Xenopus tropicalis: one gene and its partners. The protein of the gene in region 4 purifies or fractionates together with the protein of the main gene of each other region. This does not show direct contact. Links are inferred from orthologs where the notes say so. Each region holds a gene or a part of one and is shown on either strand. Other genes may lie near its edges.

The links.
Region 1: the proteins of pfdn6 (region 4) and pfdn4 purify together in Homo sapiens (affinity purification with mass spectrometry; 6 studies listed by BioGRID and IntAct, counting the BioPlex papers as one, with this or other methods). This does not show direct contact. The link is inferred for Xenopus tropicalis from reciprocal best matches to the Homo sapiens genes PFDN6 and PFDN4.
Region 2: the proteins of pfdn6 (region 4) and pfdn5 purify together in Homo sapiens (affinity purification with mass spectrometry; 5 studies listed by BioGRID and IntAct, with this or other methods). This does not show direct contact. The link is inferred for Xenopus tropicalis from reciprocal best matches to the Homo sapiens genes PFDN6 and PFDN5.
Region 3: the proteins of pfdn6 (region 4) and pfdn1 purify together in Homo sapiens (affinity purification with mass spectrometry; 6 studies listed by BioGRID and IntAct, with this or other methods). This does not show direct contact. The link is inferred for Xenopus tropicalis from reciprocal best matches to the Homo sapiens genes PFDN6 and PFDN1.

Annotation. Positions count from the first base shown.
Region 1 is NC_030686.2:34,364,409-34,372,846, forward strand, and holds the start of pfdn4 (prefoldin subunit 4), read right to left. Parts: upstream 5,393-8,438; 5' UTR 5,389-5,392; coding exon 5,377-5,388; intron 2,578-5,376; coding exon 2,470-2,577; intron 1-2,469. UniProt on the Homo sapiens protein: Binds specifically to cytosolic chaperonin (c-CPN) and transfers target proteins to it. Binds to nascent polypeptide chain and promotes folding in an environment in which there are many competing pathways for nonnative proteins.
Region 2 is NC_030678.2:147,135,985-147,144,461, forward strand, and holds pfdn5 (prefoldin subunit 5), read right to left. Parts: upstream 4,619-8,477; 5' UTR 4,598-4,618; coding exon 4,526-4,597; intron 4,284-4,525; coding exon 4,181-4,283; intron 4,096-4,180; coding exon 4,064-4,095; intron 3,542-4,063; coding exon 3,467-3,541; intron 1,102-3,466; coding exon 996-1,101; intron 376-995; coding exon 305-375; 3' UTR 96-304; downstream 1-95. Other genes in the region: espl1 (separin), read right to left, coding at 7,517-7,718. UniProt on the Homo sapiens protein: Binds specifically to cytosolic chaperonin (c-CPN) and transfers target proteins to it. Binds to nascent polypeptide chain and promotes folding in an environment in which there are many competing pathways for nonnative proteins.
Region 3 is NC_030679.2:31,786,571-31,794,810, forward strand, and holds the start of pfdn1 (prefoldin subunit 1), read left to right. Parts: upstream 1-2,928; 5' UTR 2,929-3,025; coding exon 3,026-3,058; intron 3,059-4,287; coding exon 4,288-4,454; intron 4,455-8,240. UniProt on the Homo sapiens protein: Binds specifically to cytosolic chaperonin (c-CPN) and transfers target proteins to it. Binds to nascent polypeptide chain and promotes folding in an environment in which there are many competing pathways for nonnative proteins.
Region 4 is NC_030684.2:72,107,538-72,114,059, reverse strand, and holds the end of pfdn6 (prefoldin subunit 6), read right to left. Parts: intron 5,476-6,522; coding exon 5,405-5,475; intron 3,418-5,404; coding exon 3,293-3,417; intron 3,218-3,292; coding exon 3,097-3,217; 3' UTR 2,875-3,096; downstream 1-2,874. Other genes in the region: rgl2 (ral guanine nucleotide dissociation stimulator-like 2), read left to right, coding at 664-857. UniProt on the Homo sapiens protein: Binds specifically to cytosolic chaperonin (c-CPN) and transfers target proteins to it. Binds to nascent polypeptide chain and promotes folding in an environment in which there are many competing pathways for nonnative proteins.

The DNA of each region.
Region 1 (8,438 bases), on a different chromosome or scaffold from region 4:
ACTTGATCCCAACTAAGATATAATTACCCCTTATTGGGGGCAGAACAACCCTATTGGGTTTATTTAATGGTTAAATGATTCCCTTTTCTCTGTAATAATAAAACAGTACCTGTACTTGATCCCAACTAAGATATAATTACCCCTTATTGGGGCAGAACAGCCCTATTGGGTTTATTTAATGGTTAAATGATTCCCTTTTCTCTGTAATAATAAAACAGTACCTGTACTTGATCCCAACTAAGATATAATTACCCCTTATTGGGGCAGAACAGCCCTATTGGGTTTATTTAATGGTTAAATGATTCCCTTTTCTCTGTAATAATAAAACAGTACCTGTACTTGATCCCAACTAAGATATAATTACCCCTTATTGGGGGCAGAACAGCCCTTTTGGGTTTATTTAATGGTTAAATGATTCCCTTTTCTCTGTAATAATAAAACATTACCTTGTACTTGATCCCAACTAAGATATAATTACCCTTTATTAGAGGCAAAACAATCCTACTGGGTTATTGGGTTAATTCAATATTTAAATGGTTTTTAGCAAACTTAAGTTATGGAGATCTAAATTATGGAAAGATCCCTTATTCGGAAAACCCCAAGTCCCAAGCGTTCTGGATAACAGGTCCCATACCTGTAGTACATAAGAGGGGCATGCACTGCTTCCAACCCCAAAATTGTACAGGAGCAGCCATTGGCTAAAACCTCATCTAACACATATATATATTTTTAATTACAATCACAAATTATAAAAAAAAATAACCAGGCTTTAAATAAAGTGAGGCACAGATGTTGTTTACTTATTAGCTGGAACATAGACCAGTTGTCTTCCCTCCCATTTGGTTCCGTGAATTTTATTTTGCCTTAACCCCTTCACTGCTAAGGTTCTGCACACCTGACGACTGCTGCTCCTATTTTACTTCAAATTACAAGAGTACCAGGGCTGTATTATACAGAGGATTAAGAATTCCTTGTATGTATGGAGGTTGGGGTTGTTTTCTCTGGAAAAGAGGCGCTTGCGAGGGGACATGATTACTCTGTACAAGTACATTAGAGGGGATTACAGGCAGATAGGGGGGGTTCTTTTTTCCCATAAAAACAAATCAACGCACCAGAGGCCACCCCTTTAGATTAGAGGAACAGAGCTTCCATTTGAAGCAGCGTAGGGGGTTCCTCACGGGGAGGGCAGTGAGGTTGGGGAATGCCCTTCCTAGTGATGCTGTAATGGCAGATTCTGTTAGTGCCTATAAGAGGGGCCTGGATGACTTCTTGAACAATCAGAATATCCAAGGCTATTGTGATACTAATATCTACAGTTAGTATTAGTGGTTGTATACATAGTTTATGTATGTGAGTGTATAGATTGGTAAGTATAGGTTGTGGGTGTTGGGTTTACTTGGATGGGTTGAACTTGATGGACTCTGGTCTTTTTACAACCCTATGTAACTATGTATGTGTAAATACCCCAACAAATTATGTTACTTCCTTCTAAAGTTCCCTGAAAGTTGGGCCATAGCCCTCCTGTTATGTTATAATTTCCTTGCAAGCAGGTACCAGGAGAAATAGCATAGCAGTCCATGGAATATACTGTGTCTAACCTATATAAATGTAAGGAAGGTATTGGCTACCCCCAGGTCTTGCCACAAACCAAAAGAACAGTGCTGATGGGTGCCATGTAGAGAATACAACTACTGGTTCCGGTGAGGGTGTGTCACATTTCAATTCTTGAAACAATCGAACATGATGACAGTATCCCTTCCTTCATTCTAACAGACAAGGACTAATTATAGTTAACTGCTGATTGGCTGATGAAGAATACGACACCAGTGGAAACTTTCCCCTTTTCTCTGAGCTTATATGGAAACTTTGCATCAAAGAGGCTATAAAAGCAGCCATTTGTGCGTTTTCTGCTGACCTCTGGCAATGGAAAGGTGCTTCAAATGGGAAAACAAAATCTCGAAAATAACAATGAGAAGAAAAGCGCAGTAATTGTCATTTTATGCACACATCTGCATCACCCGGCGCCTCCCTGTGATAGAACCGCATTAACAATCATTACTGCCACGATTCCTCATTTATGGAAGGAACCCATTTCAGGCTAATTGGTCCTTCAACGCCTTTACAAAGGGGACTGCTGTAATTTAAGTGCGGAGCAGATGGATAAGTGGGACTGCGCTTTTATCCGCGTACGCATTTGAAGCTGGAATGAAAAGGATATATAAAAATATTGCTGGGAGTTGAACGTTTCTCAGTGTTTTCATTTCGGTGTTATTGCTGGTTGTATATATTCTATATTTAATTTGCTTCCCTGTGCTTCTCTGCTGCTGCCACCAACAGGAGGAAAGTGGTACTGCATGTTGCATAGGTATATTGGAACTAGAGAAACATCTGAATTAACCAGACATGGTGTTGCTTAAGCCAAGTAACACTTCCCCTTTAATAAAAGCAAAGATCTCGCTGTTGTATTACCTTTTTTACTTCGATTTCATCTTTCAGCTCTGTGACCCGGTTTGTATTTCTTGCGAAGATGTTGATTTTTTGTTGGTCCTCGAATGTAACGTTTACATCTTCCGCAACCTGGAACGCAAACAGGACAAGTCATTACCCTCCAGACAGGGGAGGCGCTACTCAGGACTGTAGGAAACCTATGGTTCTGGTGCCTACGCACAAAGGCCTTTTTTTCTCTGTATGTATCAGTGTGAGGATCTACTGACAGTCTGTGTATTGATAACTGCCATAGAGACTATTCCATTTATTTATAAAATTAGCATTAGCGATGACTTAAGTGACGAGAGCAAAGGATTCTGCCTCATTAAGGAGTTTTCCTCATTAACGAAAATTATATTAATCATATTCATTTAGCGGGAGCAAATTACTGATGTTACTGTAACCAGCTGACCTCTCAGGACATCATTAAAAAGGCAAATTGCTACAGGTTATTTTGCTGCTTGTCACTGTCTCAATCAATTGACTTTTTTCCTTTATTTTTTCCCCACAATGGAAATTAAGGATAGGATCTCAATGCTGGCAAAACCTCAGTCACTAGAGCAACTATATGAACTGCTGCCTCACCAGGGCCAGATTCTAAACTGGGCAACCCGAGGCCACACCACCCCCCGGCAACTTGATAGGCCTTGTCCCCCATAAGCACGTGTGCGCACCCACCCACTGTTTTGTTTTATTTTGTGCCGCCCTGGGCCTAGGTCTTTGTGGCCTCACAAATGCTGATCTGTCTCTCAATACAGGGCAAGCTTCTATAGAATTAAATATATATAATAATGTGAACCAAATCATAATGCACTGCTGGCCTTTGAGTCATAGCCACAGGATTACTAAAGTGGGGTAACTTTGGGGAATATACAATCATTCACATCGCAGCCAGCACCCCTGTAGAGTTAATTTAATTTCCAAGCACAGGAACAGACACACCCAATGGGCAGGTATAGTGAGACAGTAAGGGGAGCTGGCAATAAGCATGGCATTGCCGTGTTCCTGGTCTCATTAATATTCCACTTATGATGCTGATTTTGAGTGCTGCCAGTTTGGGTTCCTTCCAGTTGGGTATTGGTTTCCAGCTCAGGTCAGTGCTTGAGATCTAATAACCAGGGTCTTTCTGACCAGTGGCAGAAACGAATTAAAACACAATCAGCAGGGCAGCAAAGGAGGTAGGCCTGTCAATTTTTATATAACTGTGGATACTTGTAACCGTAACTCGCTGTATAATCCCAGCCCCAACAATGTGAGCCATTCCCACATCATTTGTCTCACACCCCCTTCCCCTTTTAGACTGGAAGCTCTCTAACTCCTATTTCAGCCAGCATTTCTATATAATCTGTATTAGTGGTGGGTGGGTCACATAAGCTATGATCATACCTGTTATTAATAATGAATACACCTGCCAGCATGAAAGCCCCCATGCCCTGTTTATGCCCACAGCAGAGAACCCCAGGGGGCAGGACACAGAGGGTCCACATGAATAAAACAAGGCAATTAAATCATTCCCCCTGGCAAATGATACTCACATTTCTATTCTCTTAGGCCTGAAACCATTACTCCTATTATTCACAGAGCTGATTAGTCCTACAACTCCAAGCACTGACCAGCAACTCTAGTAAATATCTGCAGTTAAACTGGAAATAAAAATAATAAATAGAAATAAAGGTATGAGATGATCCCTTATCCGGAAACCCATTATCCAGAAAGCCCCGGATTACGGAAAGCCCGTCTCCCATAGACTCCATTTTCATCAAATAATTCAGAATTTTAAAACTGATTTCCTTTTTCTCTGTAATAATAAAACAGTACCTTGTAATTAATCCCAACTAAGATATAATTACCCCTTATTGGGGGCAGAACAGCCCTATTGGGTTTATTTAATGGTTAAATGATTCCCTTTTCTCTGTAATAATAAAACAGTACCTGTACTTGATCCCAACTAAGATATAATTACCCCTTATTGGGGGCAGAACAGTCCTATTGGGTTTATTTAATGGTTAAATGATTCCCTTTTCTCTGTAATAATAAAACAGTACCTGTACTTGATCCCAACTAAGATATAATTACCCCTTATTGGGGGCAGAACAGCCCTATTGGGTTTATTTCATGGTTAAATGATTCCCTTTTCTCTGTAATAATAAAACAGTACCTGTACTTGATCCCAACTAAGATATAATTCATCCTTATTGGGGGCAAAACAATCCCATTAGGTTTAATTAATGTTTAATTGATTTTTAGTAGACTTAAGGTATGGAGATCCAATGTACGACCCCTTATCCGGAATACCCTTGGTCCTGAGCATTCTGGATAATGGGTCCTATACCTGTACAATTCTACCTACACACTACAATTACAGCTCAAGCGCTCAGGGTTGTATCAGTGACTTACTGGACAGACTATGAAGGCCCAAACTATATGTGACTGAGGATCTGCTGTTGGGAAGGTTTAATAGAATCCTGACAGACATGATGGCCTAACAGAAGTACACAGGCCCTTATAATAATTACTGGCCCAAGGATCAAACCATTAAAGAAGCCTATAGGGGTGGCCTAATCAGGCAGAGCTATATCTGTACTGCAGACTAAGAGAGTTGGCCGTTTGACACATGCCCAGTGTAAGGCTGGCCCCTCACCCCTAATAATCCCCCTGTGAATAGCTCATTTGGCATGGCAACACAGAAAGCAGCACAGTCTGCAGCACATCCCTTAATTATTTCTTTACAGAATGTATCCTATTACACCCCAATCATTTGCCTAATGCCCCCTATTCTCCCATGGCGATTTCCCCCCATCCAGCACCACCTTTGTATCGCACCCAGTTACCGATATTCCCTGTAACACCCCCAAATTCCCCCACGCCCGCCGCAACATGCAGCATTACCGCTTTCTTCATGGTGGCCGCCATCTTGGGATAGAACCAACTACCGGGCGGGGGGAGGAGCGTAACGCAACCTGCTCTTACTTAATAAAGCTAACCAGTGAAAAAGAAGTACCGGGTCAGAGAACGATCGCACAATCAAGCCTTAAATTCGTGGCGCTTGCAATATCACAACACATAACGATTGTAATACGGTCATCTGCATTTTACGCAATGGTACAGTCCAACTTACGCAGAATCCAACTTGACAGCGAGAGCAGGAAGTGTGCGACGCGCTAAATGGCCACTAGATGGTGCAAGAGGATGGGATCCTGAGTGACTGGCGTGATAAACTGGGCGAAGTGCTTAGTATCAGTTATTGAACTGTTCTCCGGGTGTTATAGTACAGGTATAGGACCCGTTATCCAGAATGCTCGGGACCAAGGGTATTCCGGATAAGGGGTCTTTCTGTAATTTGGATCTCCATGCCTTAAGTCTACTAAAGAATCAATAAAACATTAATTAAACCCTATGGGATTGTTTTTCATCCAATAATGATTATTTATATCTTAGCTGGGATCAGTTACAAAGTACTGTTTTATTACTACAGAGAAAAAGGAAATCAGTTTTAAAATTCTGAATTATTTGATTGAAATGGAGTCTATAGGCGACGGTCTTTCCGTAATTCGGAGCTTTCTGGATAACGGGTTTCCGGATAAGGGATCCCATACCTGTACTACAAAAACCAACGTGCAAAATATTGTGTAGCATCATTGTATATGGTTTATCTTATCAAGTTTAATGTCTGTACTATAAGGACAATTGCCCCCTCCATATGTCACGATCTTCATCGGGACATTTGGCCAGTGGACTGGGGGGGGGGGTGAATTTTGGTTGTAACTTGTAATTATTGGCCGGCATGTTGGTCTGAGTTCTGTTAATTCTCTTTTGTGAAGTTTTTAATAAAAACACATAAAAACCCTGAGTCTGCAGCCTTGTGCCTTTATATGGTCACAGAACCCCTCAGTGACTGCTAATATCCTTATCATTTACAGTAGGGGGTACATTATCCCTTATAATACATGAGTGATACTCAGAGTTCCCTGTATAACTCAGCCTGCAGCCTTGTGCCTTTATATGGGCACAGAACCCCTCAGTGACTTCTAATATCCTTATCATTTACAGTAGGGGGTACATTATCCCTTATAATACATGAGTGATACTCAGAGTTCCCTGTATAACTCAGCCTGCAGTGTTGTACCTTTATATGGTCACAGAACCCCTCAGTGACTTCTAATATCCTTATCATTTACACTAGGGGGGTACATTATTCCTAGATCATATACTTGATCATATTTTCTGCTTGATTATAACAATATAGCTTAGAGTAAAACAATATTATTGACTTCATTCTGGAATCACTTTCCCTGATATTAAACTTTCCTGCCCCTCTGTGCTCATCATGCACAGTATTGGAACATCAGACATGTAACATTGTACAGCAGTCATTTTTTTCTGTTGCCAGGGATGAAGAAATCCAGACTTTACGAGAAATCCATTTGTGGTGCTTAATCGCCTGTATGAGAAATGTTCCAGAAAGGTCAGTCTATGAGACCCCCAGACACTGAGGGAATTTGAGGGGAATGAAATTACCACACACTTGTTGTTGTTTTTTTTGTTTCCATTAGACTAAAGGAAAAGTAAAGTGTTTTATAAGTAATAGAGGTAAAGGGTAATTGACATTTATAAGTTTATTTTTCTTATCTTCTTATCCTTTCTGGTTACATGGGGGGGGGGGTGTATTTACTAGTACTCTTCTTCCTCCCTGATGCAAAAATACTGCAGCACAGTCTTGCTTAATGGCAGGGAGTCTAGACACAGTTGTGCCTGCTTCATGGTGCCCAACACCACTCATGGGTGTTAAGGTGCTATGTGGGGTGGTCGGAGTCCCCTGGGTGCATCTGGGCAGTCAGCTAGACTGCAGCAACTTGTATGGAAATGATTAGAGCTTGGGATCATTTGGACATAACGAACATGGCAGGGGGTACATATGGGACCCCATGATTTTTGCAGGAAGCCCTGCTCGCTGGGGTGGGAGCACCCATGAACTACATTTGTCTTCAGAACCTGTAACATCTGCCCCAAACTGCAAGATAGGGATTTCCAGAGTCCTTATCATTTTAGACAATCATTTCCGTATGATTATTAATTGCCGTAGTAGAAATGCCCTGTACTTTCCAGGCCAAGGCAGGTGGGGTATTGCCAGTGTGTTCGGTCTCCTTGTCTACAAAATACAATGTATTATGTTTCCAGAAACCTCTTAATCAAGAAAAAACTGATCTATATGTGTCTGTGTGTATCTATGTGTGTGTCTGTGTGTATCTATGTGTGTGTCTGTGTGTCACTGCGTGTGTATATGTCAGTGTGCCTCCCAACCCTGGGCAATTACAGGGAAATCATAGGCTGGAAATCACCTTTTATTCCATGAGTCTATCATTAAATTAAACCATAAATATTCAAAGGCAAGCAATACCATCCACCCTATTGTCTACAGACAGTATTTCCCTACTCTCACCAGCTTTCCCTACTGTCTCCACCTCACTCTACTGTCTCCATCTTACTCTACTGTCTCCATCTTACTCTACTGTCTCCATCTTACTCTACTGTCTCCATCTTACTCTACTGTCTCCACCTCACTCTACTGTCTTCATTTTACTCTATTGTCTCCTTCTTACTCTCCATATTGCCTTTGTCTTCACCTTGTTCTGCTGTCTCCACCTTGTCTTACTGTCTTTATCTTACCCCTCTGTCTCCACCTTCCCAGTTACTGGGCACCCTTGGTAGTTGGCCCTTCCAGAAAGTAGAGTGTTGCGCCAATGAAAAAATATGGCCCTTAAAGTGATACTGACACGAAAAAATGACTTTTCAAATTATGAATGTACATAAAAAGTTCCCTTTAGGTCATGTTGATCTTTTTTCACTGTTAGGGCTGGTTTTCTATGTAATTGTTGCTTGAAGTTCCTAAACCTGACTGTTTTGCCAACCTGACTGTCCCTTCTCAGCCTGTTACAGCTTCTAATGCTATC
Region 2 (8,477 bases), on a different chromosome or scaffold from region 4:
TGAGATTTGATTTCTGCAACATGTCTGCGGATACCAAACGACCCATGTACCACAGATTATAGAAAAAAGAAAAAAAAAGAAAAACTCAACACATATTTCATGAGAATGTTTATGTTTGAAATACAAAATAAAATTGAGAAAACACAAGAAAAGTAATAAGTTAACCCCTTTTGTTGTGGAAGCTGCAGAGAACTGCAGCACAGTCTGTTAAGTAGTCCGGGGCCTTACTGCGTTAACAAACTGAGCCACGTATACAAGTATTTCAGAGAGTTCTTGCTGGAAAGGGAGTCCTCCTGGCCTTGCCTTAAGCCTTGGATGTTCCAGCTTTAGCCACTGATAGCTGTTGGATTTTTATACTCATCATTTCTATGACAGCTGTAAAGATAAAATTAAAATATTTTATCATTTATGATTGCTGTTTAAATGCTTTCAACCAAACACAGAATATATTAACAAGGTTCAATTCACAGAAAATGGCTATATTTGTATTTAAAGGAGAAGGAAAGACATTTTATTCCCAATAGATTAGTCACAATACTGCAAGCTAGAACACTACATTTAATCTGTAGAAAGCCTTACCATACCTAAGTAAACAGCCCTAAAAGCTCCCTCTGTTTAAGATAGCAGCTGCCAATTTAGCTCGGTCACAGTAGCCACTGTGCTGCGGGCTCTAGCTGCTGGCAGCTCAGATTAAACAGCACAGTTGGGGGGGGGCACTGCTTTAGATGCAAGTAAGATGGTGCTATAAATTGAAATTTAATTCATTTGGTAAAAGTCTCATTAGCAAATTCATCCTCACAGAAAGCAGCAGCCAAATATTAAGGGGGTTAGGGGAGCCAGTAGCTGCAAGGAGAGGGCTTAGTAAACACTTGCGCTCATCAGGCTGTAACACCACCAGATGTTTTAAGGTGGCATGTGTGATGGAGAGGGTCCACATTTTTTTTTTGATTACTAGTTTTATATAGATATTTGTATTTATGAATTTCGTTTCTCACCTTGCTTCATGGCATGCTTTTCTTGCAAGGCTGGCTGAATCTTCTCAATCTGCTTAGTTAGGAATTCAACCTTCCGCTTGAAAAAGTCCTTGGCATCCTCTACAGTCTAACAGAGACACATATATAGATGGAATACAAAGACTGAACTCAAGGTAAATTATTTTACAGTTCTTATAGTAAAGCAATTTGTCAGCTTCTGCATCCTCACATTCTCTCTGGAAAGGTCTAAACAACAAAATGCCGAAAATCATTACAGATCAGTGTTAATCCTTCCTATGCATCATGGCAGGAAATTTTCGCTTACTATAGGGGAATATAATCTGTTACAATTGGCTCTAAGACTTCTACTTAGAATATATTAATCAGCATTCCAATTTACATTCATCAACAATTTCATTATTTATAGGGTTATTAGTAAATATTATTTGCTGAAATGATCCCTTTCTGTTCTTTGTGTCTAGTTCTTAAAATGATGTAACATGAACCATATCTACCCCAGGTCTTTCAATCAGCTGGTTTGCAATATTGTGTCAGGAGTCAGAGCCAGGAGTGCAGAAAAAGTAAACAGCCAGGCAAATGCTGCTTTCAACTGCAATTATGACTACAAACACTTAAAACCAATAAATTCTTCAAGAATGTATATTGTAAAGTTGCTTAGAATAATAATTTCCTTTACTGTGTAAAAAAATATTTTTGGATGAAGTGCCCTTTTAAGGGCTAAACTACACAGGAGATTTTGATGAGAATTTTTGGGTCAGATTTTGTGTGACCCACAAAATCTTGTCACGCAACAAGCACAATGTTTTGTATGATCCTGTTTCCGTGTCTATATCAGACATGTATTTTAATGAGAAAAAATCTCTTTCAGACACTATGAGATTTTGTCTGGTTGTATGAAGACACAGCAGGCAAAGTCGACTACCAAAAGGCACATTGCATCTGATGGCAAAGCTTTCATATAGTTTACACATCAGATTTTTCTATCAGTCCCATTATTTTTTAACCATGCAACTACATTCGACAGGATGCGATCTGTCAAACCAACACCATTCTACAAAATCTCATGTGAAGTTCAGCCCTAAGTTATACCAGTGGGTATATGTGCCCTGTAAAGGCAAATAATCACAATATGCCTTCAAAATTAACTAAGCTTTAATCATACCATATATCTTTCCGAATTCATGAATCTCCTTATATTAAAAACTTACACTACAAGTGCCCAGTGATACATTTATCAGAAACAGATACCTACAGATCCTGTCAGCTTAAAGTGCACTGCATTCATTATATTTTGACTGAGTAAAGATGGCCATACACGCACTGATGATACTGTACAAAACCTCGTTTTGTATGATATTTGGTGCGTGTATGGCAGATCGACAAGATGACCGTTATTGCAAAGGCTGCGGATATCGGTTGTCTCATCGCTCAGCCGGGTTAAAAGATTTTGACTGGGCGCCATTGAAGGCGCCCGAACAAAACCTGCGTTCAGGGCTGAACCGGCAGGTGGAGGTAGAATTCCTATTGTTTCTACCTTCACATCCGATGACTCTGAATGTCAGTGGGGGAAACGAACGATCTTTCCTGCAACTCATGGTCGCAGGAAAGATCGGAATTGCTACATGTATGGCCACCTTTAAAAATAAAATAACATCTTATCTTGGTACTCTGAAACCAAAATATGTATATATTATATAATATATATATATATATATATATAGTGGTTACAAAGCACACTGCTGTTAAATTGCTTAGCTTAACATCCTCTGCTGTAGGCCTAACAAATTCCTTGCAGAGAACTGCAGCTGCCTAAGTCTCCCACTTTGCAAGCAGACAGTTTAACAAAAAAATACTTTTTCTGGGGTAAAAGCACATAGGCCCAGGTTCACTAATATATATAATATATAATAAATATAAGTGCTTCAAGTTATTTTTTCAGTTATAATAAGTGCCATCACTTCTAGAGGTAAATTTCTCTGAGTGATATCAGCACCAAATTACCTCTAGAAGTGATATGGCTACATTGTTGTGAATGTATTGTGGTATGATATTAAAGGGCAACTAAGTAAGCAAGTGTGGATTATTATTTACCTATACAGGGCTTATGCATATGTACAGCAGCTTTACACAAGTAGTCAAATTTCCCTATTGCTGCTTTTCGCTTTCCTACTGGTCTAGCCAATGGTCTCTTGGGCAAAACTTGCACAAGTTCTGCCAATCTTAACTGCGAGAATAACCTGTGCATGTTCCAGAACACGCTAAATTTTAAAAAATAAAAATAAACCAGTTGCTTTTAATTCAACCAATAAAAATTAAATCTGTTTGTCACACCAGATGGTTTGAAGAGTAGCAATAATGTGTTATGTATAGTTAGAAATATACTAACAAACTTTTGCGCAAGAAAATGTTAACAGTAGGTTGCTCATCACAGTCACACCTTAAGCTAAAAAACAAACAAAAAAGTAGCTCACCTTTTCCACATAATATCCAGTACCCACATCGATCAGTATATTTGACACATCATTAAGAGTCCCAGGCACATACATCTACATGAAAGGTTAAGGGGGAAAAAACCCACACACCTACTGTTCTTCTTTAAACACTGTTGTGCAAATACTGGTTTTCTATTTTTTTTTGCTCATTAAAAGGGGAGTTCACCTTTAAGATAACTTTTGGTACATTGTACAATGGCCTATAATATTAGCAACTTTTCAATTGGTCTATATTTTGTATAGCCTGACTGACTGTATACAGTACATTTTTGTCCAAGTACCCAGGAAAAACACACCGTGCTGCTATTCTTGACATGTTTTTCCTACACTATAACAACCATCATCACACTCTTTTAAGCAGTCACCTAAGCAGTTTAGCCATTTAGTGTTTAAACTTTGGATAAAAATGCATTACTGTTTAGTAGATTTTTGACACTTAGCTTGCTACAGACTTACAACGTTCCTTACATTAATAATATAATAAACAAATAGAAGAGAACATACTTTAAAACTGGAAGCAGCTCACTGGTTTTGCCACCATATGGCTTTTTCATAATATAGTGATGAAAAGGATACAGAGCTGGTCAGGGGAACAAGCAGTTGCTTCCCTGTCAGATAAACACATACAGGTTATTAGAGAGAGGAACTAAGCCGACTGACACACCCTACTAACTGGCTGCCGCTGTCACTCACCTTCATTGCTTTTGTTCAGCACACTCAGGCACTCCTTTGCCTCCACATACTTGGTCTGAACCACCTTTAGCTGAGCGATGGAGGAGGACAGGAACTCCACTTCCTATGAAAGGAAAAGGCACATAAGGAAGGCCTTACTAACCCTGTAACCCCGGAGTATGAGCAACACCAGGCTGGGGCGGGACAGCAAAAGCTGCAGTGGGACTCTGGGAGTAAGGGATCCACAGCCACGGGGTGGCCAGAACTCATCCAAGCCAGTTGTGGGACACTACGTTTAGTCGTGGGGAAAAACCAACACAGAGGCATCCCCAATTTAAGACGGCAATGTAAGATTAACTAAGATACCTGGTCCAACTGACTTTTCAATCCCTCCAACTGCGGCAGAGACAAGTCGGTAATGTTCACTGTCTGCGCCATCTTGAGAGAGGAAGAACCCCGCCTTCCTACTACATTACTATAGTGACTGTCTAGCTGGGAAACCGTATATTGTTTGGCGCTCTGTACGCACGGCTAGCGCTCTATGATAGTCCGGAGGCTGCGACGCATGCGTACTAACATGTAAGGGACCGTGTACTTGGCAGATGGTCCGCTTGCTAACATGATATTTATAAATAAGTCAAATCGCAGAAATATATATATATTTTTTTTAGATTTTCTTTTTCTTATTTTGCAAAGAGAGGAATAAGTGCAAAAGTACACAAAATGCTATTGTTACATTAAACTACCTCATTTCTACCAGTAACATGGTATTTCAACAATCAATAGAGAAGAAAGAATAGAGGAACATATAGAGTAGGAAACAAACAGTAGGAAACGGAAGAAGAGAGACCCCCCCATAACAATATAATATTTTAAGAATCTATGCAGTAGGTTAAGCACTGTTTTTTAAGAAATTTTGAAATTCACTAAAAATTTACATTTTGCAGTCATGTATCACACATTCTTGTGTACAAAGAAAGATTAGCCATAATATGAATGCTCATACATGAAAATAGTACACATTAAAGTTCTACAGGCAAAAGCAAGTCATCAGGACAATGCAAAATGTAGTCACAAAAAAAATACTTTAACTTGACTTGCTGTTGTAGTGTCATCAGTCCCAGACAGTGTTGCATTTCTTAAAAAATACATAAAAATAAATACAAAGTAATGCCTTTTTGGTCTTTAGGCAAGTGAGGAGGAGGGAGCAGAATTTGTTTGGTTAGTTGGTGGATTTAGTTATTCCAAAAGAGAGTTTTCCACCCAACATTTAGTAAACCCGAATGGGGCTAATTGTTTGTGTTGTTTTCCCATTGACAAATGTGTCTAGGTATTTGTTCCAAACGCTATAGAACAGTGATCCTCTTGATTATTAATCTTGAAGAGCTAAGACCCACTGAAGTTGCACAGTATGTAGAAGCTTATGTTCTCGTAATTGCTTTGATGGGGGTTGTGTTGCTGTCCAACATTACGGGATTGATTTGACTGCTTTTAATACAAGTATTTCTGCCAGTCTAAGGTTACCTTTCTTAGCTTTATTGATGGGCTTCGGTATGACCCTAGAAGTATCTGTGGGTTACTGGAATGTTGCATAGCATATTAATTTGTGTTAAATCCTCTTCTTAAAAGGCATCTATTGCAGTGAAAGTTCATAGGACATGTTCTAAACTGCCTTCCACATGGGGGCAGCATTGCATTTCTTTTTGCATCTCCTTTTCAGAGTTGACATGCTTCAAAATACTGATTGTAGAATATGTAGAATATGTTGGCACTTAATAAATAAATGTTATTAATAATACTGCTCTCTTCACCAGTACTTCTGCCAGAGATATTCTTTGGTCTCCCCACAGGCACCATGATAGCATTTCACCTGCTAGACTCACACCCCTCTCAATGGGAAATAAAGTACTTTGCTGCAGCTACATCTACAAACAGAATTCCCCCTCAGCCACATGGCTCCATATCATCCCTTATGGTGGTCATACATCTGCGATATATCTGCAGCTTATTGGCCTGTGTATGGGACCCTCCAAACGACATCTGGACGAAAATCAGCCAGCTCTCGATTGGGCAGGTTTAATAATCCCATCAGGGCAGGGAACACCAACTCGTTAATGCAGTCCTTGCCCCAACGCCCTGTTTGTACTGCATTGTGATTAGATGATTTGGCCCAAGGATCAGCTCTATATCGCCTACCTTAAGTTGGGGGATATCAGTAAAAGTTCTTTACATGTACGGCCAATAGATTTGCATTTTACAGTTCTTAAGTATCAAAGTGCCCATTAATATGTATAGTTTTATGAAGACTCCCAGCAGTTTTTTGAAGCACCACTCCAGAAATCTACATGCAGACCAACTGCAAAGGTACTCGGAATAGTACATTCTATAACATACTAAAAGTTAACTTAAAGGTGAAGCATCCCTTTCAAGGGTAAAAGGTGTTTATTGAGAATTTTGCACAATCAATTGTTTAATGGCTCAGAGATTAAGGTACTAGACAAAATATTTGGATGAGGTGTCATAGGCACGACTCCTTCACTGTGCAGAAATGGCTTACCATAAAACTAACAGGGCAAATATGGCAACTGGTGATGTTGCCTTTATGAGCCACTGACCTGCTGTTAAAGAGAAGGAAAGGTAAAATCACAGAGGGGTGCCAAAATTTTAGGCACCCCATAGTAATTGTAATACCCTGGGTTGGTGAAAACTGCAACAGTCTGGGGTAGCTGCGAATAAACAGTGGAAAAGCTTTTTTTGGCTTTTCATACTGCGCATGTGTAAGTGGCGGGAAGACAGACAAAGGAAGAGGACCGCCCTCTTGCCGGTTCCCCGGGTTGGGGCGTGAGAAATTGGAGACAGAAAAAGCCAGATGCAAAAACAAAAAAAAAAAAAACCCACCAACATAAAAACACTCCAAACTTTATTACACATTTATATTACTCAATAGTTTCCCTTATGCAATAAATATATGTTAAATATTCACTCTTAAAAGAGAGTACAACTCTGTAGGAATAAAATCATTTAACCTGAGAACAGCTGTATATACACCCTTTATTAGAAATGACTCTGTGCCAAAAGATATGGGCAACCCTACTTATAAACATTGACATATTTATACATATTTGAATAGCAAATTGGCTAAAACCACTGCTGCTAGTCGGTAAATCAAAGAGGGCAAGATCTGGCAAGAACTAGTATGTTTATAAGTAAGCCAAGGAATAAATATCATAACTCTGCCCTCAGCTGGCAGAAAAGCCAAACTATGGACACTCATCTTATTAAAAAAACTACATGGCTTTCATTCTGTAAAAGGTATAAATATAATATGTAAAAATATAGTCCCACATGACAATGATGCTATCGCAGGGCCACTGGTAAGCCATAAGCTACAGGAGCTGCACCAATGATGTATTTCAGCTTGGGAGCTTGGCGGGATTCTGACAGGTATTTCAAGAGAGGAGCTCCAGATCCTGCCTTGAGCCAACTTTGTAAAAATGCTACGGTATAGCGGTCAATCTCACGGTCAGTGACGTCCCATAGGTTGCCAAGAACTAAAGGGCTGAAGAAATCAAGTAATTAAAACCACAGACTGACAGAACATATAGGCTGTGAAATAAAACACACGATAGACACAGATATATATCACACAAGAGCCATGAATATCCTGCAAAATATATCCTTATAAACAGTGCTTAGCAATGTAATTTGTAACATGACTCACTGGAACTTGTGTATTATAATAAATGCGCCCTCTATTAAAAAATGAGGATATTAGAAGTCACCAATAAACACTCTGCATATTTTATTAACAAGATGATCCCCTATTACTGTATGGGTTTTTTAATTAAAGGAACAGTAACACCAAAAAATAAAAGAGCTTTAAAGTAATACAAATATAATGCACTGTTGCCCTGCACTGGTAAAATTGGTGTGTTTGCTACAGTAACACTACTATAATTTATATAATAAGCTGCTGTGTAGCCATGGGGGCAGCCATTCAAGCTGGAAAAAAGGCACAGGTTACATAGCAGATAACCGATAAGTTCTGTAGAATACAATAGTGTTTTATCTGTTATCTGCTAAGTGCCTGTGCCTTTTCTCCTTTGAATGGCTGCCCCCATGGCTACACAGCAGCTTATTTATATAAATTATAGAAGACTTTCTGAAGTAAACACACAGCTTTTACCAGTGCAGGGCAGCAGCACATTATATTTTAGTTACTTTTATACACTTTCATTTTTTGGTGTTACTGTTCCTTTAAGTCATTGGCTGTCAAAGGCAGCAAGGACAACAATCAGGGCTTAGGGTGGGCCATGTA
Region 3 (8,240 bases), on a different chromosome or scaffold from region 4:
GAGCTGCAGAATCTTTGTGACAGGAGCGGGGAGCTGGCTTGTGCTTTTCAGCCCATACAGACACGCTGGACAAGATGGCTGCGCCGTTCACTGAAACAAGTATGTAAGTTCTAGTATGTGTATCTCTGTAAATCTTTCATTAGGCAAGCCAGGAATATAGTGTTTTTACACAGCAATAGTAGTACTATTTAATAGTGTGCTTAATAGATTTTGACTTTCCTTCTCCTTTAAAGGCGGGGCAGGCAATAACTTTCACTTTCCATTCTGCACTTCCTTGATGTCACCACACTTCTTACATTCCCCCTCCCTCCTCACTGTCGATAATTGTGTATCATGGGCATTAGGTGCCCCATTCTGGCAAACAGGATTTTGTGATGATGCAAAGCTTGTAACAGTGTTCACATAATGGCACCTGCCTGCTTGTTGTGATTAACTGCAACAAGCAGAATATGCAATGATAACATGGGTGTATGCATTCTATAAAGAGGCACAGCTATGGGATCTCTTATCTAGGAACCCAGTATCCATAAAGGCATCTCCCATAGTCTATTTTAAGGAAATAATGCTAACTTTCATTATTTCCTCCTCCCCTGTAACAATAAAGCAGTACCTTGTACTTGATAGAAACTAGGGCCGCCATCAAAAACTTTGGGGCCTAGATATTTATATGGGTCCCCTCGTGAACAATAGGGCACAGTACAACATTTTTGGAGTTGGCAGCTTACTTCCTGTGTATGGGCCCTCCCAAATGGCCTATCTGGTACATGGCCAAGTATTAGCCAGATAGTTATAGGGTAGGTTAAAGGAACAGTAACACCAAAAAATGAAAGAGCTTTAAAGTAATAAAAATATAATGCACTGTTGCCCTGCACTGGTAAAACTGGTGTGTTTGCTACAGTAACACTACTATAGTTTATATATTAAGCTGCTGTGTAGCCCCGGGGGCAGCCATTCAAGCTGGAAAAAAGGAGAAAAGGCACAGGTTACATAGCAGATAACAGACAAGTTCTGTAGAATACAATAGTGTTTTATCTGTTATCTGCTATGTGCCTGTGCCTTTTCTCCTTCAAATGGCTGCCTCCATGGCTACATAGCAGCTTATTTATATAAATTATAGTAGACTTTCTGAAGTAAACACACAACTTTTACCAGTGCAGGGTAGCAGCACATTATATTTTAGTTACTTTTATACACTTTCATTTTTTGGTGTTACTGTTCCTTTAAAGACAATGTTCCCTCCAAGCTATGCTCTTGTGCACATGCACACAAATTTTGAGGCCAGCGCACACAATTGTGGTACACACAAGGAATTTTGTGTAAAAACACATAATATTGTACTGAGCACACAAGTCTTTTAAAGGAGAACTAAACCCTAAAAATGAATATGGCTAGAAATGCCATATATTGTATAATAAAATGACTGCACTGGCTTAAAGTTTCAGCATTGCTATAGTAGTAATGACAAAAGTCTTTACAGTTGTCACAGGAGCTCCCCATCTTGGATTCTGTTAGAACTGTCCGGGACGGCGCACATGCTCAGTTGGCTCTGAGCAGCTAAGCTTAGGGATTGTTGCAAAATATCAAGCAGAAAATGAGTGTTGTCTTTCATATAAACTGATGCTACAGGGCTAATTATTCAATTTTGATGCAATTGCCCTGGTTTCAGATCTGTCATGTAATGTAAATGAATTACTAATCAGCCTTTCACTGTTACATTTATATTCTGTATATACAGTATATTGTGAGTGGGTCCCTAAGCTCAAGTAAGTGACTGCAACACAGAGCATGTGCAGGGAATCAGCAGAAAAGAAGATGGGGGGGGGGCTACTGGAGGGCATCTTTGGGGGCACAGATCTTCCCTGCAAAAGGGCTGTTTGTGCCTTGGGCTGGTACAGAAACCCATAACATAATTCACAAAATTTCAGCCCTACTTCTTTGTTAAAAAGTGTGCACAAAAGAAATTATTTGTGTACCCTGCCAAGAAGAAATTGGTTTAAGGGCACTGCTGTATGGGGCAGATTCTGCAGTTAACTTGCAGGCCGAGAATCTGCTGTGTGGCAGTGCCCTAAAAATCCCACTGGCATGTTGATGAGGCCTACATGGGTGCCAATTATGTTTATGGCCCTAGGGAAAAAGTGGCTGTTTAGTTCAAAACTAGACAGGTGTCAACCCCCAAGTGCACTGACAAGTGATTCCTGTGTTAGTCCATTCAGTGGTCATCTTTAGTGTTTTACCAGCTGCTAGGGCTGTCCAGTGCAGCCGTAAGCACCAGACTTCTGACCTCGCCCCCCTCGTATACAGCTACACTTTTTTTCTTTTTAATATAGGCACCCCTAGCGCTGCCCTACATAAATATGGCCCATGCACCCATGAGCTAAATCATGCACAGGGGATCTTGTCTGAGCAAGATCACCTTCAGGCTGGGCTTTTAGAACTATCTCCCAAAATAAGAAATATTTCTTTAACGTTGCCCCATTTTCAGCCATGATTTCAATTTATGGCGTTTGTAACTGCTTACAAAATACAGTCTAATTCAAGATTCCAGAAACATATGGGATAAACAGTCTAGAAACTCATAACAATCCTATTGGGTGCGAATCGAATTACAACCCTTCCCCATATATTTCTACATATAACTCCCCAGCCACTGTGTCACTGCCGGTTTAACACGTTGTGTGTAAATCACGCACACATATTTGTTTATATGTTACATCACACGTTACACCCTTGGTTCACTCTACACAAAACATAACTTCTGTGGCAAAACAAACTACTAGCAACCATGGCTCAAATATCTTTAAACAGTAAGAGCTCTCGCTGCTAAGCCACAACTCAACCAATCCTCCAGCAACTATACGCTGGGCGTTTCCCAAGAACGCCCACCAATGCGCCCAGCTTCACCTTAGCAGCTGCCAATTGGAATTGCCAGTAAAGCACCAAGAGCCAATCACAAGGCTGCTTGCGATGACGGCGGTATAGCGTATGGTTTCCTCGCCGCCGCGTTGCGCATGTGCCCGGCTTTAATATGGCTACCCCTGTGGATCTAGAGCTGAAGAAGGTAATAATAATTGTATTTCATTTATACTAATGATTTTTATCATGTACGTGTTTTCATGTAAGTGTATGTTTATATAAGAATTCAGATGCTGGTGAATTCACGGTGCCTGCAGGATGAATGTGCTTTTGGCTGGAGTGCGGCCAGGCAGCTAGTGCATACGCTCGGTGGAATGCGAATGTAGTCGTTTTTGTATTTCTAGTAGGGAACTGTATTTGTAGTAAAGAATTTTGATATCATTTGATTTGTGTGTGTGTATATATATATATATATATATATATATATATATATATATATATATATATATATATATATATATACATATATATACATATACATATACATATACATACACACACATACATACATACATACATACTCACACTCTATAAACCCATAGTTCTATAAACGAACACTTGTTTTTTTCCAAATACATAAAGAAGGGAAATTTAATAAAGTATATTTACTATTAATGTAAGATTCATCCTTTTGGAAGGCACTATCTCCCAGTGCATTGTTTATTTGCAATTAAAACAGTCTTTAGAACGCAAAAACATTGCTGTTAAATCTTTGCTTACACCTAAAATTTGGGGGCTTAAGTGTTTAGTAAGATTGGAGATAAATATCACTGGTGATGTTGCCCATAGCAACCAATCAGATATTTGATTTTCATTTCTAACTTGTAGGTGACTGTTCAAATCTAATTCCTGATTGGTTGCTATGGGCAACATAGCCAGTGATATTTATCTCCAATCTTACTAAACATGCCCCTGTGTCCTACATCTGTGGTTTGCTTGACAGACTTTTTCAGTTCAAGCCCACCTTGGAGCCCAGTTAGTTCATAACAAGGTGTATGGAAATGTTGTATCAGCTATTCAGGAAGGGCTCCCGGAATACCCATTTTCACACCAAATTTCTCTCTAACTGAGCTTCTCGCTGGGTTTTTAGAAAAATAGGCCCTCAAGTGGGCCATACAGGGGCCCATTCAGACCAAGTTGACAACATATCAGCCTGTTTATGAGTAATGTGAGACTGCTTGACTGACATTTGCAAAGGATGCACTTTTACAAGCAGAGTAGTTTAAAAACTGGATAGTTTCTAAAATATTAAAAATATTACCTGCTTACACAATCTTGGGTGAAACTCAGATGTAGAGATTGGCAGTGGCTAGAAAGCATTAGCGAGGACAGCACTTAGATACAAATTGTTTAAAACCATGTTTTGTATTGCAGGCTTTCACAGAGCTTCAAGCCAAAGTTATTGATACCCAGCAGAAAGTTAAACTTGCAGATCTACAAATTGAGCAGCTAAATAGAACAAAGAAGCATGCATATCTTACCAATGCAGAAATTATGAACCTGTCTGATTCAACGCCTATGTATGAAGGAGTAGGAAGAATGTAAGTAATGCTGTTTTGCTTTAATCATACAGTCATGCATTAACTTGTCTTTTTAAGTGTAAATTGTAAAGAAAAGTAGACCTTCGGCCCACTCTCCCCTTCTCTGTTCACTCAATTTCTTTAATCTCTTAATTACGCAGTTTTACATAATATTATCTATCCTTTCCTCCATTTCTTCAGTTTCTTTTCATATAGGATTGAGTAATGGCCATGGTATACGCATACAAGGCAAATGGTTGGGTGAGCAGGAGGGCCCACTGACACTTGGGCCACCGGGAGTTTTCCTTGTATCCTGGTGGGCCAGTCAGACACTGCACAGACCTACCGATCCCTTCGAGGGCCAAAAGACAGAAAAAATACAAGGGACCATATACTCTATGGATGCCTTTCTGTTGTTCCTTGTATTCATAGGGAATGAAGGGAACAGTTCCTCATCTTCCATACACAGGCTGTAATGGGTTCTTAGCAGGTTACATATTTATACCCACCCAAATGACAAACCAATCAAAGTACATGGATATAGGCTGCCACGCACATACTGAAAATCGTTAACTGTGTTCCTATGTAATCCCCATTTGACTGTGCCAATGACTGTATTTATAGACTGGCTATTGTTAAAAACCAAGAACTTTTTGGTTTTCTTACATAACCATTGCTGTGGAGAATAGAAAGTACTTATTCATAGGCGAATGATTCAATATTAACACATTTCTAAAGGTGGAAAGCATTAAAGGCCAAAAAAAATGCATTAGTATTTCAGATGCTTTAAATGTTCCGTATGCCTTTAGAACAGAAAGTCTACATTTAGGAGGGCGTTATAGTCACTAGTATAAGTGGAACTTTATAGTTTAGGTAATCCATTGATCTCAGGGAACATGCTTATCTGCAGCTGGGAAGTCCATATATATTAAAATTTAGTTGAATGCGCTTGAATGCACTTGTGCAATAGCCCTCTACAGAGGGTTCTGAACAGCAACTTCATTGGAATAGGCCATACATAGGCAGATTTAAGTCAAGCACCAGCCTAGGGCACAGAACTCTTTTGTTTGTCTGTTTCCCCTTACTTCGGGCCCCAGTTGACTGGGAGAACTGCCAGAAGTCAGAGAGAGCAGCCGCTATTTTGCACTCGCTCGGGGGGGGAGTGGGTGCAGTATAGCCGTCGCTTACTCTTCCAGTCAGTGTGCGCTCGTTACAGGAGGGGTGGGCACGGAGCAGTGCGAGCTGGGGGGGGGGGGGGGCAAAGTTCTAAATTCGCCTGTCATTGATTTAAGCTCCTCAGTCAGTCCCTTCAGACCGATTTGGCAGCTTATCTGCTTGTATATGGTGCCCTCATATGGGCCAACCTGACCGATATGTGGCAGAAAATCGGGAAGTTTTTGATCGGGCTAGGTTTGAGTTTCCCATCGAATTGAGGAATGCGTTGGCTTGTTAATGTTTCTTGTCGCAACGGCCTGTCCCCGTCATTTTGATGCACTCATTTAGCTCTAGGGGCCTAGGGCCAAACAATTGGATCAGGCCAATATTGCCCACCTTAGGTAAGCATATCAGAGAAAGATCTTCTTATTTGGCAACCTCACCAAATGAGTGAATATTATGATGTATGGCCACATTAAGTTGACATGCATATATAGACTTCTTCACTTAAGAGAAGGAGCAGGAGAAAGTAACAACAAAGTCTCGTGGTTCCGTCAGCGGCCTACACAGATCCCAGCTAGACACCTGAGCAGTAAGGGTTGTGGGACTAAAAAGTCATACAAGGTGCATTTTCAGGAGACCCCCCTATTTACCCACATATCTAATTAAATATATAAGTTGCTTTCTCCCAGCTTCTGATGTGATGCATGACGCACACCCAGTTACCCCCAAAATCTAGGTGAGTGCTGGGGTGCTGTTCGATATGACTCCTTGACACCAACCCCCCATTTCCTCAGCAGCACAAGAGTTTTTCCTGTCTATACTGGCTGCTATGGAGCTCCACTGCTTGTTGAAGAGGCCATTTGGAACAACTTGCTCAAACTTGACTGCCTTGTGGGTTAACGGAACAGTTCAGTGTAAAATTGGGTAAAATGGATAGACTGCATAAAATAAAAAATAGTTGGGCAAAAATTTAATCTATAAAGGCTGTAGTGAGCAGATGTCTAACATAATAGCCAGAACTCTTCTTCCTGCTCTTAGCTTTAGGGGGGCCACATGGGGCATAAATGTTTGTGATCACACAGGTCAGATTCAAACTAACTGAACTGTTACGTCCCATATGCCCCCCCCTCAAGTCATTGATTGGTTACTGACTGCTAACAGCTTAGAAAGTTGTAAGGGAGGAAGTAGTGCTATGGTCATTAAATTAGACATCTGCCCACTCCAGCCCTTATAGATTACATTTTTGCCTAACTAATTATATTGAAAACATTTTGTTATCTTGCACAGTCTATCTATTTTGCCCATTTTGATTTTACCCTGAACTGCCCCTTAGGGGCTGTCTGGGTGTATGGGAGAGGAGAAATGGTGGCAAGGGTGAGAACATAGGAGATGGAAAAAGGCAAAGGGAACTGTTGATAGGGCAGAAGGAGAGAATGGCATGTGGCAATGCTTGGGACATTGTGTTTCCTGATAAGGAGTCTTTACCTACTGTCCCCCTTAAGGGCTATGGTACACAGGGCGATATGACATCCCACCGGCGAAAAGGTAAATCGCTGGTGGGATGGCATACGCGGCGACGTGATTTGCAGAAACTGTTGAAGTACAGTATGCCATCCCACCGGCGATTTACCGTATATACTCGAGTATAAGCCGAGATTTTCAGCCCTAAAAAAGAGCATACGGTAGATGCTTATGTAACGCTGCCCTAGTGCCGCACTCGCCAAACCACCTCCCGTGGCTGGACGAGCGTGCACGATCACCCCTACCCCGCCCAACGCCCCCTGCCCGACGCGTGTACATGTGCGCGCATTGGCGCTGCCACTGCTTACCATGCTCGGACGTGTCTGCTGTCCATGCTCAACCACATACCCCCGCCCCCTAGTGGCCGGACGAGTGTACATGCGCGCTGACTCTTCTGACTCTGCGCGCGTATTGAGCATCTACCAGAGTAGGCCAGTCAAGAACGTTTTAAAAAGTAAGTATGCAGGTTGTACCTTTGTATTTATAATACGCAGGTCAATGGAAATAGCTTCTTGTATCTTACGCTGAGCATCCAGCGGGTAAAAATCGGTACTTCTGATGTTTTTGCCTCTCTATTGTGCAATCTCTATTTCTGTGCGTTTCACAACCTGATAGTTGTTACCTGTGTTAAAGCACGCTTACCAGCCCTTGATCTTGCCTGTCTTTGCATAGGGCTGCCTTTTACTGGCACTGCTCTCAGTCTAGTAAATAGTCTGTTTATAAGCGTTTCAGGAAATAATTATTCAGTGTTGTAAGGTAAATAAAAGAAATGCTGAAAACTAAGCATCAACAGAACAGTCAGATTGTATATTCCCAGTGCATTTTTTAAGAGCTTGAAGGGTTTTTTTTGTTAGTAGTTCTTTATTAGTTAATTACTACTAGTGGTGGCACAGTCTTGATTTTGGTGAACTAGGAGCTTCATGTGCACAACACAAACCTTACATTAAAAGGGTTTCTGTGCCCCATGAATAAGGTAGATCCCATTACAGCTTATGCGTCTTAGTAATATAATTAGTTAGTGAAGAGGTAACGCAAAAGGATACTGTCATGTTTTTTATTTCTAAATTACGCTCTTTATATAGCAAATAATTCACTTTACCATTTAAAATATTATTTTCGAACCAACAA
Region 4 (6,522 bases):
TTGATACAATGTTGCAGTAGTCAGCTGTCCCCCAGCCAAGACCCAAATTCCCATAATTTCCTTGCATATTCTGTGGCTAAAATACCTGTAATGAAGGGGAATATCAGAAGTGTGCAAGGCACCATAGGAAAATTAGTTTATTTATTGTTAAGTGTACTATTTCCGTGCCTGCAGTTTTATCATACTGCTCCCCTTTGTGTTGAGGGTTTATGTCTGATTGAATAAATCATACATGAAGCCCTAGATACCCATATGGTTGTGTGCCCAGAGGGTTGCTTATCATCTCAGTTTGATTCACATACCGATACTTTGTATATATGTGATAATTCTAATTGCACAGAGTATACTCTATACCCAGTACTCCGGAGCATGCCATAGAGACAGGTTATACATTGTTTACTTTTATAGACATATAAAACACTTGTAGATCCCACATAGGTTTTATTTTTCCATATTGCCACATAGTGAACCAATTTGTTTTGGTCCATGCAAAAATAATTTATCTGCTCCTGCAGCATAAATTTTCCTCCTTCATGGATTGGTCCTTTTTCCTTTAATGACACAGCTACAGCATATGGTAATGTCATGAAATTAATATTCTGGTGTTACCGAGACTCTGTTACTGAGTTTGTACAATAACAGTTATATTATTTGTCTCATCAGAATTGGTTATTCCAGAGAAAGCAAATGTTTTCTATGCCATGAGCTCTGCAAGCTTGGATTTTCTTCTCCGTCCCCGTAAGACTGTAAGTTCAGCATCTTCTACAGACACCCAGGCACCCGCTAAAATGCTCATCAGTGCCACAATCCCTAAGGTCAAAGCAAAGGCAGGAGACCTTGCAAGAGCACTTTTCTAAAGCTCACCATGAGATTCATCTGCTCCCAAAGTAAAGAGGAATTAAAAATATACAGGAAAAAATCTTATATTGAAATCTAAACACAACAGGATCCTGTGTTACTGACTTTACCAATGACATGTCACAAGCAGACATCACACTTTTATCGCCCAACAAGATGCTCCAGTACACTATGGCATACAATGCTAAATGATCTCATGTGCCAAGTCATACTAATGGGAACCTCTAGTGCCTGTCAAAAGGGAATGATGCAATAAACCCGTGTTACACATGTGCCGGAAGTGACATCAGACTGTATATTGTCATTGTGCTGCTGCGTTCCATATACACTATTGGTAGAACACTATTATATTTGTATGATGATGGAAGAGTGCATTTTATTGTACATACACCTGTATAAAACATCTGTGATGTTGATATATTTATGTTTATTGTAACTGTACTTAGAAATTCTGCATATAAACTACCTTTTTCATACGGCGTGTTTGTTATTTTAATAAAAATGTTCAGCCCTGATTCTATATATTAGAATGAAGCATTCAGCACAGTAAATGCACTGATTAATGTTAGCACATATAAGCCATAAATAAGCTGTCAAGAAATGCTGGATTACAGGAATAGCTGGGGAAGCCCTCATGGCTACGAACACATCCAAAGTTGGGCTAAAGAAGTCAACTAAAGAAGTGGCACTACAATATTTCTTGATGCAGCATTTCAGCAACATTGATTTTAAAGGAAACATATTGGATAAATGGAAAACCTCTAATTTTGTAGGCAATTATGAATAATATATGGTGCCGGTTTCACTTTGTGCTAAAAATTAGTCCTATCTGTAAAAATGGCCCTTTTATTGGAGCTCCCTATAGATCCTATCAGTCCTCCGTCCATTTTTGAAATGAAGGGTGGGAGTGTTCTAACAGTCCCTGCCAGAAGCACAGTAGGAAGGGGATAGCCAATCACAGCCTTGCACTCACACAAGCAAAGACAGGCTTCAGTTCCCTATCAGGTCAGCCTAGCTGCTGATTGGTTCCTGTCCTACAGTGCAGTGTACTGAGAGCCCTGCACATCCAGAGAATTCTATATCTAGAAGTATAATTGACTGCTACATTCATCATTTTTATAGGATATGTCTCCTTTAAATTCCACAGACCAAATTTGACTTTCATGACATTTTCATATAGTATTGAAGGGGTTAATGTTCCAAATGTAACTGTGTGTATCTTACAGGTATCACATGTACAATCACATGGCCACTGGAAAACAAGCTCCTAAAGACTAGATTTTTAACGTTTTTGTATTTCTTTAAGCTACATACTCTGGAGCTGCTGAGAGACCCATTATCGGCGTCCACCCCCCTTGCAGCGTGGGTGCTGCTGAGCTCACAAAGGGATTTTGTCATGATTTCATGGTATACTTTTTACACTGTTAACTCTACCTAATCTTAGTGCATTGTGAGTCTGAGCTTTCAGAAGGAGCCAGCGCTACACACTTCTGATCCAGTGCCACGAACCAAGCACATGGGTCCATTAATAGATCTGGAGACACAAATGTATTTTAGTCATGTAATTTCTCTAATATGTAGTAATTGGGCTGAAAATATTAGTCTTCCTTAAAGAGGTTCAACACTTTTTGGCATAATAAAAGAAGATGTAACTCTAAGCAACTTTTTTTATACAGTTATTCAATGGTGTTCAATAACAAAAGCCAAAAGATTAACAGACCTGCAGAAAAACACTACTTTTAAAAGCAATGTAATTTACAAATAACCATTGAACCACTCAATTGTTTAGTGCATAATGGAATGTTGCTTAGAATTATTAATCTCTTATACAAACAAACAAAACCTATTTTGGGTGGAGGCCCCTTGGTATCTAATTTCACTTCTTACATTTCTATTGGTACTTATTGTTCATAGGTCAGGAGTTGTTCCATTTGTTCAGAAACTATATGTATGGTTTGTGTATTTCTTACGTGCAATGTTCTGCTATTCTCCCAGGAAAGATAAGATTAAGTCCTCTCGGAGTCAAAGCATTTTTATTACCCAACACAATTCAAGACATAGTATTTCCACAATGAAGCTCTTACTGTCCAAGAAGTGGCATCAGTGTGCACAAGAGGCAGGAGGTGCCAAAAGTATTCCAGGAAAATAAATGGTGGGCAAAGTTTTGGTTACACAGTCCTGGAGCATTAATGACCAATGAAAACCAGGTCTAGGGTTATAGATTATTCTGAATGCCCCTCAGGCCTTCACTGGCCCCTTTCCTTGTGTCCTCTGGTAATCTTGTTGAAGCTTAGTAAGGGATGCCCTATGTTGCTCTGAACGCTGCTCCATATCCTTAAGTGTGGTCTCATATCTTTTGCTGAGAAACAAACATTCAAACATTATACAAACCAGTTATTAATCTCAATACAGACTAAAGAAAAACACTACTCACATTTCTCCATTAATGTACTGAAGTCTTTTATCCACAGTAGACTTTGCCTCTTCCAGGTCCTGTTTTACCAGCACTGGACCAATCAGCTTATATACAGTGTTACTGTCATCCAGAAAAGCCAGCTCCTACAGAGATATATAGAAACACACATACACATTTCATTCTTAAGAATCACACTATATTGTTATTTTTTATATTTACCCGACATTCTATATATTGCCAAATATGATTACTGTTAATGTCTGAAATCTTCTTTTCTGTTCCTGTTTATTTTGAAAATACATTTAAAAAAAAAAAAAGTTTCCAGGACCATTTTAGAAATGATTATGTATTTGCCTAATGGAAATATTAGGAAGAAAATGTCTTTGCCCTCTCTTTCTGCAGCTTATATAAAATGGGTTATTGTCTTAAGATTGCAGTTTTACCTTTGAATACAAACCCTATTATTTCCCACAGTGCCACTATTCCAGCAGACAAAGGACGCAATTTGTCATAATTGAGATAACAAAATCATAAGGTTGGATTAAAAAAAACTATTTTTATATATTTATAAAATTTTTGACCATGTGCAAAGCATACAGTCCTCTTTAACCCCCTCCGTGGCCTAATTTGCATATGTAAATTAGGATTCAGTTTGGTATTTGCCCAAATCTTTTCAATGGATTTGGGGTTTGGCCGGATACCAAAATAGTGGATTTGCTTCATCCCTAGTATAAAGTAGAGGAACTTAGATCTGAGATGTTAGAGCTGAGGTCTTTTTTACTTAACCTTCACCTAGAGCTGGGCGGTATGACCAAAAATTTATATTACAGTATTTTTCAAAATTATATCGGTGTCACGGTATTTGACGGTATTTTTTTTTTCCATGCATGATTAGGTGTTAACCCCATTTCCTAATAAATTAGAAAATAATTACTGCAGTATTGAAAATCAGTCAAGCGAAGGATCGGCAACAGAAAGTCGTAAGGTAAATCAGGCAGGCTTAGTTTCCCAGGCAAGGCCGCAGACAACATAGCACAGGAGGAGGCGTTTGATAGCTTTAAATACCCCCCACGCATGCACAGAACCGGCGCCGTCAGCGCATCACGGACGTGCACGCTTTGACATGTACGTGCGCTTTGACGCACGCGCACCTGGATGCGCGTGCGCAACGTCCCGCGGACAACAGGACGCACGCGAGACCGGGCCGCACGGGTGAGTACCCTGACACCCCGGTATTGCGGTATCTGAAAAATGAATATAGTTTTAAAAAAAACCACCGGTATTCGGTATTAAGCGGTATATCGCCCAGCCCTACCTTCACCAACTCTTTAATACAGTGCAATTGTAAACATGTGTAGTGTGATACAACAACAATTCAGTTTGAGAATTTGTCTGACATGGCTTTTGGGGAGGCGTAAGATATCAAATAGCAAAAACTGATTCCACCAACAATAACTTTGCTTGATGTGGCTGTATTCTCTCTAAACTATAAATATGCTGTATGTGATGGGTGCAGTCAAATAATATAAATAAGCAGTTAGCATTAATAATAAAATAATTATACTAAATATATACACAAATTATTTTTGTTTCTATTTTTCATGTGTAGAATTCAGACCAGGTAAACATTAGGATTAACACATTTTTACACATTTAATACATTTGTCCCTGCTCATTTGCTCCCCTTGTAGGAAAATTATCAGTTGAAGCTTATTACCTGTATCACACCTACCCTTGTAAGTTACCTGATTGACTTAAGTACATTACAGATGTCTGCACAAATTGGATTATGGTCCCTCAAGAAGTGTTTCTTTGCTAAATTAGGAAAGACTGGTATTGTCTCAGTGGGATGACAAAAAGTCACGCAATTTTAAGAATTTGCATTCAGTTCACCCAGGCATGTGCCAGTTCACGTCGGTTTAGCCTGATCTGAATCTTGGCCAAACCCTAAACCAAATGCTGTATTTGGTGCATCCCTACTTTATAATTAAAAGAACGCATGCAGAGTCCTTTTGTAAGGGTCATGTAACTCTGAGGTATGTGGCGAGTTTATATTGCTCTTGTACAAGTGCTTGCATATACATATTGGCATTCATTTGCTAACTATGTTCCCCCCTACCTCAAACTCACCTGTTTGACAATGTTGTTCTCAGTCAACTGAGCCTCAAGCTTCTGCCTGGCTGACATAGTATTGCTGATCTCTAAAGAAAGAGAAGCATGACAGAATAATACCAGCCAATAAAACACAAAAAGCTATAAAAAAAAATTCAAGGACAAGTAACATCAAAAAGTGAAAGTTTATAATTTTTTTTAACATTTAAAGTTTATATCTGTTCATCCAGCATACATAAAAAAAAAATTGCCCCTGTAGGAAGACAGCAGATTTTTTATATAAACTGTATTATCATTTCTGAACACTACCAGTGCAGGGTACATTATATTTCAATTATATTTAAAACAGTGATTTTTGCTGTTACTGGTCCTATTATATATGTGTACCTTTTGGAACTTTCCAAATGTTCCTCCTTAGCTAACAGCAAGCTTATAGATATATGAATATATTGCTGTATCTTTCATTCAATCATGGGCCCAAAAACATCTTGCAAGTTTTATTTCAAGTAACACTGACTTTCCTGACTGAGCTTCCAGCAGTATCAATGATATCAAATTGACATTCTCCCCAAATCTCACCTTAAACGAGACATATCATATAAAAATTAAGAATGTACCAGTGAATTATACTCCTCTAGAAATAGAAGGATTGTGCTTAAAAAAAGATGTGTTTCAGACTGATTTATTGAGAAAATTCCCCCAAACCCCACTAACCCCGCCCATCTGTTCCACTTCCTGCTGGCTGAATTCTCTGGAGCCAGTGGCACTCCTGCCAGCTAGGCTGACCTGATATTGAACTGAAGCCTGACTTTGCTTGCATGACTGCAGGGCTGTGATTGGCTATCCCCCTCCTACTGTGCTTCTGGTAGGGACTTTTAGGACACGCCCACCCGTCAACATTGACAGAGAGGATAGGAAGCTCCAATAAAGGGGCCATTTTTGCAGACAGTATTCAAATTTAGCCCAAAGGGAAACCAGCACCATATAGTATTCATAATTGCCTACAAAATTAGTGTTTTTTCCATTTATCCAATATGTCTCCTTTAACTGACCTCCAAGCCATCCATCCCCCAGACTCTGGGCCTGTGCAGGGGAGCCAGCTCAACACCTGCTTAAGACAGAAACCGCATATCTCA